Linked DNA regions of Notamacropus eugenii. The protein of the gene in region 2 interacts with the protein of the main gene of each other region in a pairwise test. Links are inferred from orthologs where the notes say so. Each region holds a gene or a part of one and is shown on either strand. Other genes may lie near its edges.

Region 1 (7,607 bases), on a different chromosome or scaffold from region 2:
AGTTTTCAGTATGAGCATTTACACCTCAGAAACTGCCAGACCCACAGGTCAGGGCCTGATCTACTCTTCTGTTAATTGTCACCAGAAGGGCAACACTCCAGCCTTTGTAGAATCAAGTTAAAATGTAACTGAGAAATGCTTAACAAAATAAATTTTAAAATACAATGCAACATATTATTAATGCTATTGTTTAATAGTATCTGAGTTTTTATGACCCTGTGGACCATGCAGTTTTCTTGGCAAGGATATTAGAGTGGTTTGCCTTTTCCTTCTCCAGTGGTTTAAGGCAAATGGAGGTTGAGTGACTTGCCCAGGGTAACACAGCTAGTAAATATCTGAGGTCACATTTGAACTCAGGTCGTCCTCACTCCAGGCCAAGTGCTCCACAATGCAACATAATGTTAACTGGTGTTTTTCTGAGTCAACCACAGTCAATCACAATTCATTTCTATTTAAATTTGACACTACTAGTCTAGATCAGAGGGGTCAAATATGCCCTTCAGCACTCCTTAGCGCAGGGAGAACTAAATTAAAATGCACTGGGAAATATTTAACAAAACAAATAAAAACACAACAGAACACAGATAATGCTAATATGTGGTTCTCAAGTCAGAGGGCAGCAGGGATCCTTTGCAGTTATCTATTTGAGTTAGACACTGCTTAACTAGACTTCGGAAAGTGATGGAGAAATGTGAATAAGGCAGATAAAGTTTAAAATATATCATTTGTACATTTTGGGGGGAGGACAAGTTGTTAAATATTTACCAGTACACCACTAACTTTAGGCAACCTGGTGCTCCCCACCCCCAACTCCAGAGGCTTATCATATTAATGCTGAATTTAGCACGGACTGATCTGCATAGTCCACAGAAACTCAAGAGATTCACCACTCTCAGTCTTCAGATGGCTGGGATTACAGGAGTATACCACTATACTCAGCCAGGGATTATTAACCTTTCCTGTGTCGCAGATGCTTTGGGCAGTCTTTTCTCAAAATATTTTTGAATATATAAAATAAAATACACAGGATCACAAAAGAAGCAATTATATTGAAATACAGTTATTAAAAATTTTTTTATTGAGCCCGAGGTTAAAAACCCCTCTAACCCTCTTATTTTATAGAGGAAGAAAGCTGATGTCCACTGAAGTTAAGTGGTAATCATCAGATGTATGGATTTGAACTCAGATCTTCTGACTTCAGAGGCAGTGCTACTCCTTCTTTAAAATTTTTTTCAATTACGTGCAAAATTAATTTTAAACGTACATTTTAAAAAATTGAATTCCAAAGGCAGTGCTATTTTAAATCTCAATGAGTGCCAAATTCATGAACCCTTCCTTTATTCTACCCTCCTGTCCTCCTCCTCTATAAGTGGGGAGATCAGGATTAGTAGATCAATTTAAATAGCTTCTTTACAATTTTGCTATCTGATAGTTTCTTTGCATATTTTAATAAATCACGTAGTAGCTAAAAAGTCAGTTGTCTGGATCTCAGTTGGTCAACAAGAACAGATTTCCCAAATTCCCTCAACAGGAGTAATTAGAGGTTTCCAACAATCTTAATATTTTAGAACTACTGTATATTTCATGTTCATACATGTAGATCTATATTGAATTGGGGGCAAATTGCCCAAAGAAACTTGGTGTGGTGGGAGTGGGTTGTGGTCTGAAAATTTATGAACAATTGCCATATAGGATACTTTTACCTTTGGAAAAACTAGCCCATGTTCACTAAATACCTACTGATAAAACCACTAGGTGGGTGGCTTGATGGTATTGCCACCTGGTGGTCAAAATATATATTTCCCAGTTACTCAAATAATTAAGGGGTATCCACTTTTGTTTAACTTGTGGAAAGCTGTGTTATAAGCCCATCATGGATGGCTGTTTCAAAGAGGAAACCAAAGACACCTACCAAGGCATACCTAAGCCACATCAATTATCACATGTGATTCTGCAGCTAATCAAAGATATAGAATTTATAGCTAGAAGAAGCCCTAGAGATTATTTAGTCCAATCCCTTCATTTTACAGATAAGGAAATCAATTAATTAATGAGCAAGTATTTATGAAGTATCTGTTTCAGGCACTCTCTTGTTCACTGGGGATTCAAAAACAAAAAATGAAATAGTCCTTGTCCTCAAGAAGTTTATATTCTATAAGAGAGACAATCAGTACATAATTAAGACATTAAAAAAGTATACACAGAATAAATACTAGGTAAAATGTGTGTGTGTGTGTGTGTGTGTGTGTGTGTGTGTGTGTGTGTGTGTGTGTGTGTGTGTGTGTAGAGGACACTAGTGACTGGAGAATGAGGAAAGGTTTCACGTAGAAGGTGGTCTTTGAGCAGTTCTAAAGCAAACAAGAAATTCAAAGAGGAGAAGGTAAAGAGAGAGGAAATACCTGGACCACACTCAAGAAAAGATATGAAGATGGAAGATGGAATGTCACATATGAAGAACTGCACGATTAGTTTGGCCACATCATAGTAAGTACTGCCCTGTTATAATAATTAGTTTGTTTTAAACCTGGAGTGATCCAATTTAGGTTCCTAAGGTCCAGGAGTTTTCTTCTCCAACAATAGGGAATTGATTTTAGATGAAAAGTTCTGAGTTCCATCACAATAACTCTGAGCCCCCAGTTTGGAAAACTCCTAATATATTAACCAAAGTTTACGTTTATATCTTGCACAAGTTAACCCCCCAGCCTCTTTGAAGTTGACACAAAATTCAATTCACTAGAAACATTAGTGTAACAAAACGTAGATTATATTATAGTGAATGTGAGGCAGAGACTGGGAGGGGAAGTTGGGGAATGAGCCCAGTTTTTTCTTAGATCTTCTCCTAGCATAAGTCCTCTGCTCCCAAACTTTTCTAGAGCTGATGTTTCTCTTACATAGCATCCTTCTCTTTCACAGCTCATTCGCTCCTTAGGTGTATGCTGGAAGGCCAGCCTCTTGAATCTAGACCCTCAGAATCTTTTCTTCTGCATACTTAGCTTCTTCCTTTAAGCAAATTCCTTAGGACATGATCCTGTCTTTTAAAAAATGGCTTTGATTGAGGCAGGTAGGTACCTGCTCTGTTTAGGCCCTGTTCACACTCAATTCTAATTGTTTAAGTCAATAAAAAGTGTTCATACCTAACAAGGGATATTACTTAAAGTGAGTGGCATAATCTAATGGAGTCCACCATAGCAAATACATAATATAACCTTGGAAATGTAAGTTGTCACCAGGTTGTGAAGGTCTTTAAAAGTCAGACTAACATATTTTATTCTAGAGGTAATTATTTATTGAATGGGGGACTGTCATGGTCAGACCTTTACTTTAGGAAAATCAATTTCACAGCTGCATGTAGAACAGATTAGCAAGGGGAAAGAAATGAGGTAGGGAAGACAATTAGGAAGCCTTGCAACAGTCCAGACAAAAGGTGATGAGGGCATAAACTAGGGTTGTGGCCCTGTGTCTAGAGAAAAAAAGACATGTCAAAAATGTAAGGGAGAAATGACAATATTTGGCATCAACTTGAAAGAATAAATGAATAAAAGACATTCAATAATCATATTAGCGAAAATTTAACAGTCAGCTCACAGGGGCTCTCAGGCTGGTTCTGGCATACCCCTCTGCGTCTGCCACTGTGCTAAGTGATGAGAATACCAGTATAAGCAAGTAAATAGTCCTTGACCTGAAGGAGTGAACAGTCTAATAAGGTAAGGCAACACATAAAGGGGAGCTGAAAGGATGCAGGGGATTAGACTAGTAGGAAACTGACTGAAAAGTAATAGGAAGTCTGATTCTGGGCAAGGAAGGGTAAGAGCTGACCTATTGGGGTCCAAGGTCCCAGGGGCAGAGTTCTGGTTACAGTGGGAAGGGAATGAGGAGGATAACCAAAATGAAAACGGCATAGTTTTGAACTGGATGTGTGAATATACATGTGGGGTGAAGAGAAACTAAAGCTCCAGGATAATGTCAATGTACAACACTGGTGACTGGATGGTGAGTGATACCTATAACAGAAAGAGCGAAGATGAGAGAGGAGTAGCCTAGAGAGGTGATGTAATTTCCCCAAGGACACACAAGTAGGGAAGACTTTCACATAATATGTGCTTTACACATATCTATATGTAGTTTCTGTTAAGTAGCAGAGCCAGAATTGGAAGTCAGATATTCTGAATCCAAGACCAAGTATTTTCTCAATCACCTTGCTTCCAATTTCTATTTCCTTCTGCCCCCACCTTTACTACTATATACGGTTCCACAATAAATTCAGTCATCTCATACACCCACACCTAAATGATGAATGGGCAACCTCTATCCAGAATTTAACTCATAATTAAAACAAAAATGACCCCAAGCACAAGTGTTTCCTGATAATATCAGCCAAAGGAGAGCAGGGTAAAAACGGACTTCTTATAGTTGACAGGCTAAAAAATGTCCCTATACCATCACAATTCATGAGAAGTAAGGTGGGTGAAAAGCAGGTGGAAGAGAGTGGTGGGGAGGTAGAGAGGATTCTAGGAAAATGAAAGTCCTCACCTTTTTACTGGTTAAGAAGCTCTGAATTGTACAGGTGGTTGCCTTGGAAACATTGTTCTGTTTACAATGCCATCTTCATTTGTCCTGTTACAGTGATGCTAGGAAACCACTGGGTGAAGGTAACTCAGGATCGGGAGAGGATGGGAGGAAATGATAACCACTCTCAGTAGGTATAGGGGTGCTGAAAAAGGTTCTTTGGGACTTGACTGTTTTAATTAGGAGAATTTCTTCCTAAGAGTTAGAGTTTAAGGGTAGTCTACCATCATTATGTCAGTCTACCACCATCATGGAATTGCAGCAGGTATTAAGAGATGTAAATGGAAGAAAAGGTCTGATTTTTTTCTTCCCCCTCTTCTTCCAAATCCACTGAGCAATGGAAACTGTAGAGTCTCTCGGAGCTTTTCAGACTGGCTTTGTCTGGCTCCATTTTTTCTGTGGCCCTCACCTCTCTCACAACTTGACTGGCAGCAGCTGACAGCATAATTAAGGTTGCAGAACATAATGAGGAGGAGGACAGGTAGTCAACCATTTCAACAAGAGTGTAAAGGGTAAAGAAGTAAAAGTTATTTAGATTTAGAAAAAAAAAATCTGGAGTTCTTAGTAGAGAAGGATTAGGAATGTCTTGGCCAGGACCCTGATAAGTGAGTGCAGAAAAAATTCAAGGAGAGGTAGCTTCCAACAATTCTATTGCCGTGCCTCTAGCTAATCTCCAGCAATATCCTCACCAGACTCAGCCTCTACACAAGCCACCAAGGAAGAAACCAGGGTAGAAAAAAACTGCTAATCTTGAGGGAGAATAAAGATAATGAAGTTTTGTTTTTTTTTTTTAAATAAATTCAGGGTAGCTAGGTATACAGTGGACAGAGAACTGGCCCTGGAGTCAGGAAGATCTGAGGTCAAATCCAGCCTCAGACACTTACTATCTGTGTGAACCTGGGCAAATCACTTAACACAGATTGCCTTCTTCCTCCCACCCCCCCAAAAAATAAGGTTGACAACCTATTACCTTTAGTTAAGAAGTGTCCTAGATGTATTGCCTTAACTAGTAATATTAGAGCAGATATTCTTTGATTTTTGAATGTTTGGAGATGATCAATTTTGCTTTCATTGTTTTATTTTGTGAATTAAAAAAAAATTTGACTGGCTTTTTAAATGATGGTTTTTTAAAGTGTGGTACAACAGAAAAGAACATTGAGTTTGGAACCAGAAGACATGGGATTCATTCCCTAGCTCTGCCACTTAGTACCTGTATGACCAAGTTTTATAAACTCTCTGGCCTCAGTTTCTCAATCTGAAAAATGAATGGATTATACTAAATAATTCTATCTAGTATAATCTTTGAGGTCCTTTGCAACTCTAAATCTATGAAACTGTGAAAGAAAAACTTTTGAGGACTGGATGTCCTTGTCAGACCACAGTTGGAATTGTCTGTGATAACATAAGATCATAGATCATAGCTAAAAGAATCTGTAGAAAGTTATCTAGTTCAATCCCTTCATTTTCCAGATGAAAAAATTGACGGCCAGAATGTTAAGTGACTTGCCCAAGGTCACACATGTATGAAAAGGCTGAGGCAAGATATGAATCTAGGTTGCCTGACTCCAAAGTCTACATTCTCTGGGTGCCATCATATATTTTAAGAGGCATATACAAAAAACCCCAAAACACACAAAAGCATATGCAAGATGGAATATGTCTCAAGAAGCATGACCAGGATGACAAAAGACTGTATATCATTCCATAAAAGGATTAGTTGAAGGAACTGGGTCAGAATTTTAACTAGGGTAGAGTGACTAAAACTAGGCCCTTGAGCAGAGAAATTTAAAGGGTGATACCTGCAATTGACTACTTTCTGAAAGTAGAAATAACTGAGCTCAGTACCTAATTAGCAAGAATAATTAACTAAAATAAGGAGCTATCAGTGGCAGGCCTCCTCCCTTGATGACCATAACCCAGGTGAGTCCTTCGCCAGCATGTCTCTACTTCACTATCCCTTCCAGTGGTATTTGTTCTGCAGCAGTCTCCTAATGACCTGAAGTTGAACCTCTATCAAGGCTGGTGTCCTGGGTCTCTCTGTCTCCTTGTCTTTGGGTCTTTTTCTCCAAGGTCCAAGATTCCACTTAGGTCTCCATTACTCCCCAACCCTACCTCTACTATATTTGTATTAAGAAGGTTGTTTGAGGGTACCTCTCGGGCTGTCATCCAGGAAATATTTTGTAGTGCTTTTTCTGGGAAGTAGAATCAGCATTTGTGGCTCTAATACGGGATTTTTAACCTGGAGAGAGGGAAGGTTTTGGGAGAAGAGGGGGGTGGAAGAGATGAGTACTATTGTCATCTTTAAGTATTTGAAAGAACCTCATGTGAAAAAGAGATTTTTTTGTTTGATCTTAGAAAACCAGCACTAGGTAGAATTTCTTCTTCTTCTTCTTCTTCTTCTTCTTCTTCTTCTTCTTCTTCTTCTTCTTCTTTTTTTTTTAATACATTTATTTATTTATTTTTAGTTTTCAACATTCACTTCCACAAGTTTTAAATTTTCTCCACCTCTCCCCCTTATCCAAGATGGCATGCCATCTGATATAGGCCCTATATACACATTCTTACTAAACAGATTTTCACATTGTTATGTTGTATAAAGAATTAGAACAAATGGGAGAAACTATGAGAAAGGAAAACAAAACAAAAGAGAGCAAATAGTATGCTTCAATCTGCATTCAGACTCCATATTTCTTTCTCTGGATGTGAATGACATTTTCCAGACATCCCTCTAACTTGCTACAGTGTTAACTGCAGTGTTAACTTAGCTAATACAAACTAACAGCTTCTTGGAGCCACAGGTGAGGGTTGAGTGCTAGGTAGACCCCAAAGGAGGATAAGCAGCCCTGAAAAGGGCTCAGCAAAGTCTTCATACCAGAAGTGCCAATCTTCCTTGAACATCCTATATAACTCTTCTGTTGATGAATAGTGGCAGTGGACTAATCTCACCATTATCATCAGAACCTTCTGCTTGGGTGTTCCATCATATACTCTGCAAGTGGTTTCTGCCCTTCTGGAGTGGAACTGTCCATGGGAGAATCTGC
Region 2 (7,792 bases):
TACTTTTTAATATGGTAAGATAGATTTCTACACCCAACTGAATGCATGTATTATTCCTTCTTTGAGCCAATTCCAATTAGAGTAAGGTTCATGTGCTCACCTTCTTACTTCCCCCTCCACTGTAAAATCTCTTTCAGGCAAGCTTGTACCTTCTTTTGCATTTGGCCAGTTCTACTTTTTAAGGAGTTCTCTTCGATGAATTTTTGTATATCTTTTGCCACTTGGCCAATTCTGCTTTTAAAGCATTCTTTTCTTCATTGGATTTTTGTGCCTCTTTTACCATTTGACTTATTCTGTTTTTTAAAGAATTATTTCCTTCAGTATTTTTTTGTGCCTCCTTTACCAAACTATGGACTCCTTTTTCATGATTTTCTTCCATTATTCTCATTTCTCTTCCTAATTTTATCTCTACCTCTCTTGCTTGATTTTTAAAATCCTTTTTGAGTTCTTCCCATGACCTGAGAGCAATTTGTATTCTCCTTTGAGGCTTTGAATGAAGGAATTTTGACTTTGTTGTCTTCTTCTAAGTGTGTGTTTTGATCTCCCTTGTCACCATAACCACTTTCTGTGGTCAGAATTTTTTTTGTTGTTTGCTCATTTTCCAACTTATTTCTTGACTTTTAACTCTGTGTTAAAATGGGGCTCTGCTTCCCAAGTGGAGAGAGTGCTGTTTCAAGTTTGACGTTTATTTGTGCAGCTGTTTTCAGAGGTAATTCTGGGAACCTGTAAGTTTGGGGCTCTTCCAAGGTGGTATGATCTAATGAGAAGTGTGTTAACTACTCTCCTGGCCTGTGCACTGGTCTGAGAGGGACCACAAGCACTGTTTTCAACCCTGAAACTGTGACCAATGTTCCTGCTCCCCTGTGGCCACAAGCTCTTCTGTGCTAGTGCTCCTCCTCACACTGGGACTAAGACCCAGGACTGCAACACAGAACCAAGTATGGGCAAAGCAACAGAATCTAGTCTCAGTACCAGCAAAGAGACCCTTGTAATCTCCTTCTGACCAGTTGTTTGACCCCCTTACCATCTGTGGGCTGAGAGTTTTGGAAACCACCACTACTGCCACTGATTCAGTCACCCTGAGGCCTGTTCTGGGTTTGCTGGGACCTGGTCTGCACCAGTATGGCCTGTACCGAACTGTGCTTCTCTCTCATTCTGGTACAACAGACCTTCCTGCCAACCTTTTAAGTTGTCTTGGGCTAAAAAATTTTCACTCCATCTTTTTGTGGGTTCTGCCCCTCTAGAATTTGTTTAGACTCACTATTTAAAGGTATTTGCAGGGATTTGGGGGAGAGCTCAGGTCAGTTCCCGCCTTTACTCTGCCATCTTGTCTCTGCCTCCACCATTGTCTATTTTAAGATATATTCTATGAACCTATGGTTGTACATGTGTAAACAAGCCTGACTTTTATGAGTTTCTCACACCCTTAGTGAGCTGCCCCTTGACAACTTCTTGCCTGGTCCTGTCTTGCAAGGCACCTAGAAGTCACAGAAGGGCACAAAACATCCTGGTATGACTACCCCAAAGACAGATGAAGTCAAGCCTGGTGACTGACCAGCAAATAAGGAAAAATGATAAGCTAAGAGTCGAGCTGACTGCAAGGTCAAACATTATCTTCTCAGTAAGAAACAATCCTCTTTCTTTTTGGAACATCCCCCTGCATTCTCCTCTGTATTCAAGGCTGAAGTATATATAGTTTGTTCATGGGATCATAGGATGTCAGAGTGATACAAGACCTTAGGGCTCCTATCCCTCTGATTTGCAAATGAGAAAACCAAGGCTCAGAGAGATTAGTTAACTTTTCCAAGGTCACATAGATCATGGAAAGTCATGGAATTTGGAGGTTTCAGAAACTTTCTAGTCTGATCACTTCATTTTGCAGATGAGGAAACCGAGGAACAGAGAAATAAACTTGTCCAGTGTCACTCAGATAATGAACTGGCATTCAAACCTAAGACCTCTTACTCCAAATTCAGGGCTCACTATTACCCAGTGGGATATAATGCCCTTGGAGGCAAGAATTGTTTTGTTACCCTTGTAATCTTTACAATGCATGGTCATTGAATGGAATTATGACAGGTATTTATGAATGTCCCTGGTTTATCCATATACATACGCATACTCCTGCATGCACACACACATATACACATTTATATACATACATATATAATATATATATAAATCTGTGTATATTATACATATAGTCTGAGCTCCTTAAAAGCTGTCACTGTTGTTTTTCATCTTTGTAACTCCATTGCTGAGTACAGGAAACTATCTTTACTATTTATTGGAGGGGCCTAATCAGTGCTTATTAAATGGAATCAAATTGATTTTCTGACTTTCCCCTACTCCTCAACCCCAAAGTTTCACCTTGAGATCTGTGAAAACTGGGGGTGAATGTGAGTATCAGTGATAGCCAGGCTCTTGTCACTACTGCCAGAAAGCCCTGAAGCTTGAAGGGTCAGGGCAGTCTTGTTTCTTAGTCACTAGGGAAATCGGCATTTCTCTGGCTCTTTGAGCATTTCCTGTTCCCATTTCTGTTATATAAACATATTTATTCAAGCAAAGATCGTTGTTGCACTTTTGATCATACTAATTTAATGATCACTTTTTCTTCTTTTAGGTTATTTTTTTTTTAGACTCAGCAAAGTTCCTTTCTGAGTCTCTGGGTTGATACTGGCTAACCTATGGTTGATTTATGGAGGCCAATGTCTTAGATGATAGAAGGTGTCATCTCTAGGTCTGCATGCCCTTTCTGGTTTCAGGATAGGTTTAAGAGTCCTCCATGCTGCACCCAAATTCACTCATAAGGAAATAGGAGCTAGACCAATGATTTCTTTGATAAAGGAAATTTCTAGGTGAGGAAATTCCCTCTACGCATTCAGATCTGTACCTTTGCTGAAAATTAAAAGTAGTAGTCTTACAGAGCTGCCGAGAACATTGAGAGGTTCAGTTGTTCACGGTCCCGTAGCTAGTGTGTGTCTTCCAGGCTCCAAGGCTACTTCTACATTTACATACACATACATATAATGTGTCTGACATAAAACATGTATGTGTATATGCACATACAAACATATGGAGAGAACACTTTAGGCTTACAAAGGACTTTTTCACAACAGCCCTACGAGGTAGGTCAGATGGTACATTATATTAGCCCCATTTTAGATATGAAGTCACTGAGGTTTAGAGAATGGCAATGAGTTATATCACATAGTAAAGAATTGAGAGTTCCATCTAGGTCTCTTCTAACTAAGTCCAACTCTCCTTTTGAGACTGAGGAAACTCTATGAGAAGTTGTTCCCTTGCAACCACATTTGGCAGTTGGGAGTTGGAGGGTGAGTTAAGGCTTTGTTCCTGGAGACATTTCAGAGCATCTCCCTGAAGGGAAACAGAGACTCAGGAATGTCATTAACTCATTGTTAGGGAGGTTGTCCCCTAGCAGGGTGAATGGGGCAGGAGCTCACCTGGGAGACCCAGTTGGAAAGAGAATAGTGGTTATTCAATTGTGACCCCTCTTGGTAGAGATACTGGAGGGGGTTGCCATTTCCTTCTCCAGCTCATTTTACAGATGAAGAAACTCAGGCAAAGAGGGTGAAGTGACTTGCACAGGGTCACAAAGCTAGTAAGTGTCTGAGGCCAGATTTGAACTCAGAAAGATGAGTCTTCCAAACTCTAGGTCAAGGAATCTATCCATTGTGCCATCTAGCTGTCCCTAGGCCATATAGCATCAAGCCTCTATTTACAAGACCTCTATTCATCCACTTTCCTTCAAACTATTGTAAGAGTCTCCTAGGGAATCAGGCCCTTCTCAAGTCTCTCCCCACCCAAAGCCATCCTCTGCTCAACAGCCAAGGTGAATGTAAGTCTGGCCATGCCACTCCCCTACTCACTTAACTGCATTGACTCTCTGTTATCCCTAGGATCAAATAATCGATTATCTTTTGGGCATCTCTATACTCCACAACATGGCCCCTTTCCAGCCTTGCTGTACATCAGTCCCCTTCCCACACTCCATCATCCTGCCTAGCTAGTCTTTCTGCTACTCCACACCCACAATTCTGTACCTGTCTCTGTGTCTATACTGTAGCCATGCCCCCTTCCTGGAGTGCCCTCTGCTTGCCTCTACCTCTTAAAACAGAACTCAAGCACCTGCAGCTAGCCTTTCACAGTCTGCCCAGTTACTAGTGCCTCTCTCCCCAAAAACTTTGCAGTTAATTTAGATATGGTATGTTTGTGCTTAAATGGAAATGTAGATATAAGTAAATATAAATTAACTTAAATATAGGGGTCCACTATGAGCATATGCTATCTCCTCTAGCAGAATGTAAGTTCCCTGAGAAGTCAGGCCTATTCCATTTTGGTCTTTACATCCTAGCAAAGTTCCCAGTTCTGGTCCTGGATATGATATGTACTTAAATTTTTATTGATTGGTTGTTATGGCCAGCGAGTGACCCAAAGGGCTTTCAGTGCTGGTTCTCCAGACTCCAAACAAAGGCTGCCTGGAATGACAGCTCTAGATACCAGCGGCATCTCAGATGGAACTCTTTCCACTCAGTAAACCTGGGACTTCTCTGGCTAATATCAGGCTTCTGTTCACCTGGGGAGGCTGAATGACAACTCACTCGGCCACAGGCTAGGAGCCTGAGAAAGGCCCAGAGGAACCCAGGACCCATGGCTGGGAACAGGGAGGAGCAAACCGGTGACCTCCAAACCACATCTGCTGACTCATTTACCCAGTATAAAGACAGCAGCCCACGGGCAGTGCTGAAGGCCATAGGCTGACACCACACCGCAGAAAATGGCCCAGAAGAGGCTCGTCCGGGTGTCGCTAGATCGACCCACCTATGCTGTGTGTGTGCTGGGCACCGAGACGGTGGTGGACCTGCATGGGTAAGGAGGAGGGAGCTCTCTCTGCTGTTTCAGGTGGGTGGGTAGCTCTGACTATCTGATAAGTGTGGCAGAAGCTTTCTTCCAGTAAATGCTGTCAGCTTAGCAGTTAATGAAGCTAATAATCTCTGAGCAGTCCTGAGAAGGGTATAATTACTCGCTGGAGAAAAGCAGAAGCACAGGACACCGACCATGCCATGCTAGAGCTGGAAAGAAGGATGAGAGAGGGTCCTTAGAACCCAGAATGTGAGAACTGGGAGGGCCCTTAGAACACAGAATGTCAGAGCTGGGAGGGCTCTTAGAACACAGAGTGTCACAGTGGGGAGGGCCCTTAGAACACAGTGTCACAGCTGGGAGCGCCCTTAGAACACAGTGTCACAGCTGGGAGGGCCCTTAGGGAGCATTAGTTCAGTCCTCTCATTTCATAGATGCAGACATTATGGACACTTTAGGCTGTTTCGTCTCTTGTATGGAACTCTCCTAGCCCGTGGCCCCAACCTCTCCTCTGCATTAACACCACTGTCCCTTGTCTCCCGTTGTCTGTTCAGTCCTTCCTGCTATTAGACAACAAGCTCCTTTTTAATTCCTGAGCTGAGCACATGTACACACTTTTGCTGATTTCTGTTGAATAGAATCACAGAATCTCACAGTTCATTCAGTCCAGCCTCAGGGCTGATCTGGGAATGTCCTCTCTCCCATTCCCTACAAGCTATATTTCTGCCTCTTCTTGGATACCACCAGTGACGAGGAGCTCAGTGACTTATGTATGTTAGCCCACTCCAGTTAGTACAACCCCAATTATTAGGATTGCTTTGATTGAGCTGAAATCTGTCTAGCTTACATGCTGTGGCTGGAATCTGGCATTGGACTGATAACCAGGCTTCCCCAGCCCCGCAACAGACACAAACACCAGCCCCCAGACAGTTGCTTGAGATCTCCTTGAGTCTTCCTTGAGAATGGTGTTTACCCCATAAGGGGAAAATAATTGCCTTGAGTTTGAAGTCCCAAGGGGAAGACTTAAAGGAGAAGTGGCAAGTAAAGCTAGGGACCAAATGAATTTGTGATTTCATAAATATAGAAACCTTCTGGGTGAAGAAACTCCTCCTACCAAAATAAGTCAGCCTTTTCTTTGCAACTTCAGGTCTCAGAGCTGCCCAAAGTGTTGAGAGGCTACATCAGTTGTCTAGGGTCACATAGACATTATGTGCCAAAAGCAGGATCTGTACCCAGGTCTTCCTGGCTCCAAGGCCAGCTTTCCATCCAACATGACACATTGACTCTTTGAAAAGAGAAGGTGGTAGAGGCAGCTGGGTAGCCCACTGGATAGAGCACTCGGCCTGAAATCAGGAGGACATCATCTCAAATCCAGCCTCAGATACTTACTAGCAGTGTGACCCTGGGCAAATCCCTTAATCCCAATTGCCTCCAAAAAAGAAGAAAAGAAACTAATTGGAGATGAGATCCTTTAAAATAAGCTAATGATTTTAAGTAAGACTTGACTAGCAACTCATTCATTCATTTCAACAAACAATTAAAAACTATTCCCTACATAAAAATCCTGGACTTGTTGCCAGTGGACAAAAACAAAATAGTCCTGGTTCCTGCCCTCAAGGGGTCTCATAGTAGTAGCAGTAGGGGTTGCAGGAATTATTTCTATTCAAATAGCTCTTTAAACACGAACACAGATGAATGTGATGTAAACTGGCCAATGACAAATGTGTCAGGGAGACGTGCAGTGAGATCCAGTGACTTCCTGGAGGAGATGGCAGTGGAACTGAGCTTCCACAAAGGAGTAGAAATTTGGAAGGGGGTCTAAGGCTCATCTGGGCTCCACATAGACCTGCTTTCTCTGTTGTTTTGTGACCCTATTTGGGGTTCTCTTGGCAGAGATACTCGAGTAGTTTGCCATTTCCATCTCCAGCTCATTTTACAGATGAGGAAACTGTGGCAGGCACACGTTAAGTGATTTGCCCAGGGACACACAGCTAGTAAGTGTCAGAGGCTAGATTTGAATTCAGATCTTCCTGATTCCAGGTCCAGTGCTCTATCCACTGAGTATAGTGCTCCTAGGTGCTCCTTAATTAATATGAATGATATTAATTATATCTCATGGCTAGCACCGGCAGTAGTAACCCTAGCAAGGAATCAGGCTAAGGTTCCATCCCCTTTCTTTTTGGCAGGGGAAGGTCAATGATAATGATTGCCAACAGATCTCCCAAAAGAAAGAGGTGACACAGCAGGCCCACTGGTCACCTTGGATACCCACGCCACAGTTGCCTATCCCTGTCCCAGAGTTTAGCCCAAGAAGTTTGCCAATCCCCAGAGTAACTCTTACAATGTGACCCAGGACAGATGAGGAAACTGAGGCCCAGGGAAATGAAGCGGTTTGCCTTTCATCTGAGGTATAAACACCAAAGGCAGGATTTGAACCCAGGTTCTTTGATTCCCAAGTCAATGTGCTTTTCACAGACAAGTACTGTCAACCAGACTGGAAACAGCCTCTAACCTGTGGGTGGCCAGAGCCAAACAAACAGGGCAGACTAGAGACAGGAAAGTCAGGACACAAACAGAAGTTTAATTAATTTCAGAGGGAGGAAAATGACATTTGCAAATAGAAGCCCCCCCCCCAAAAGGAGGAGGCCACTTATTTACATAAAAAGGGTTGGCCCATAGCAAAGTCATTCCTAGATCTTGAGATATTTCTCATGGTTGCATTCCTTGGAACAACACAGGTGTTCTTGGGTCCTGTGGGAACATTCATTGTCTCAAGTCTTGGAGGTCATAGGTATCCTTCAGGGTAAAGAACCAGAGTTCCGTGGTGGGATCAGGAGTGCAGTACCTGGCAGTGACAAGGAACAGGGGCTGTGAACATGGGATGGATGGTCACCCTGGGAAATCGGGGGAG

What was found. The genes of interacting proteins can lie anywhere in the genome.
Region 1: the proteins of protein-arginine deiminase type-4-like (region 2) and ANXA4 interact in binary tests that used the Homo sapiens proteins (3 or more experiments, as listed by UniProt). The two-hybrid records come from large-scale screens. The link is inferred for Notamacropus eugenii from reciprocal best matches to the Homo sapiens genes PADI4 and ANXA4.

The regions. Positions count from the first base shown.
Region 1 is NC_092872.1:633,957,700-633,965,306, forward strand, and holds the start of ANXA4 (annexin A4), read left to right. Parts: upstream 1-4,590; 5' UTR 4,591-4,625; coding exon 4,626-4,649; exon of another isoform or gene 4,650-4,937; intron 4,938-7,607. UniProt on the Homo sapiens protein: Calcium/phospholipid-binding protein which promotes membrane fusion and is involved in exocytosis.
Region 2 is NC_092876.1:56,566,323-56,574,114, forward strand, and holds the start of protein-arginine deiminase type-4-like, read left to right. Parts: upstream 1-4,788; 5' UTR 4,789-4,798; coding exon 4,799-4,890; intron 4,891-7,792. UniProt on the Homo sapiens protein: Catalyzes the citrullination/deimination of arginine residues of proteins such as histones, thereby playing a key role in histone code and regulation of stem cell maintenance.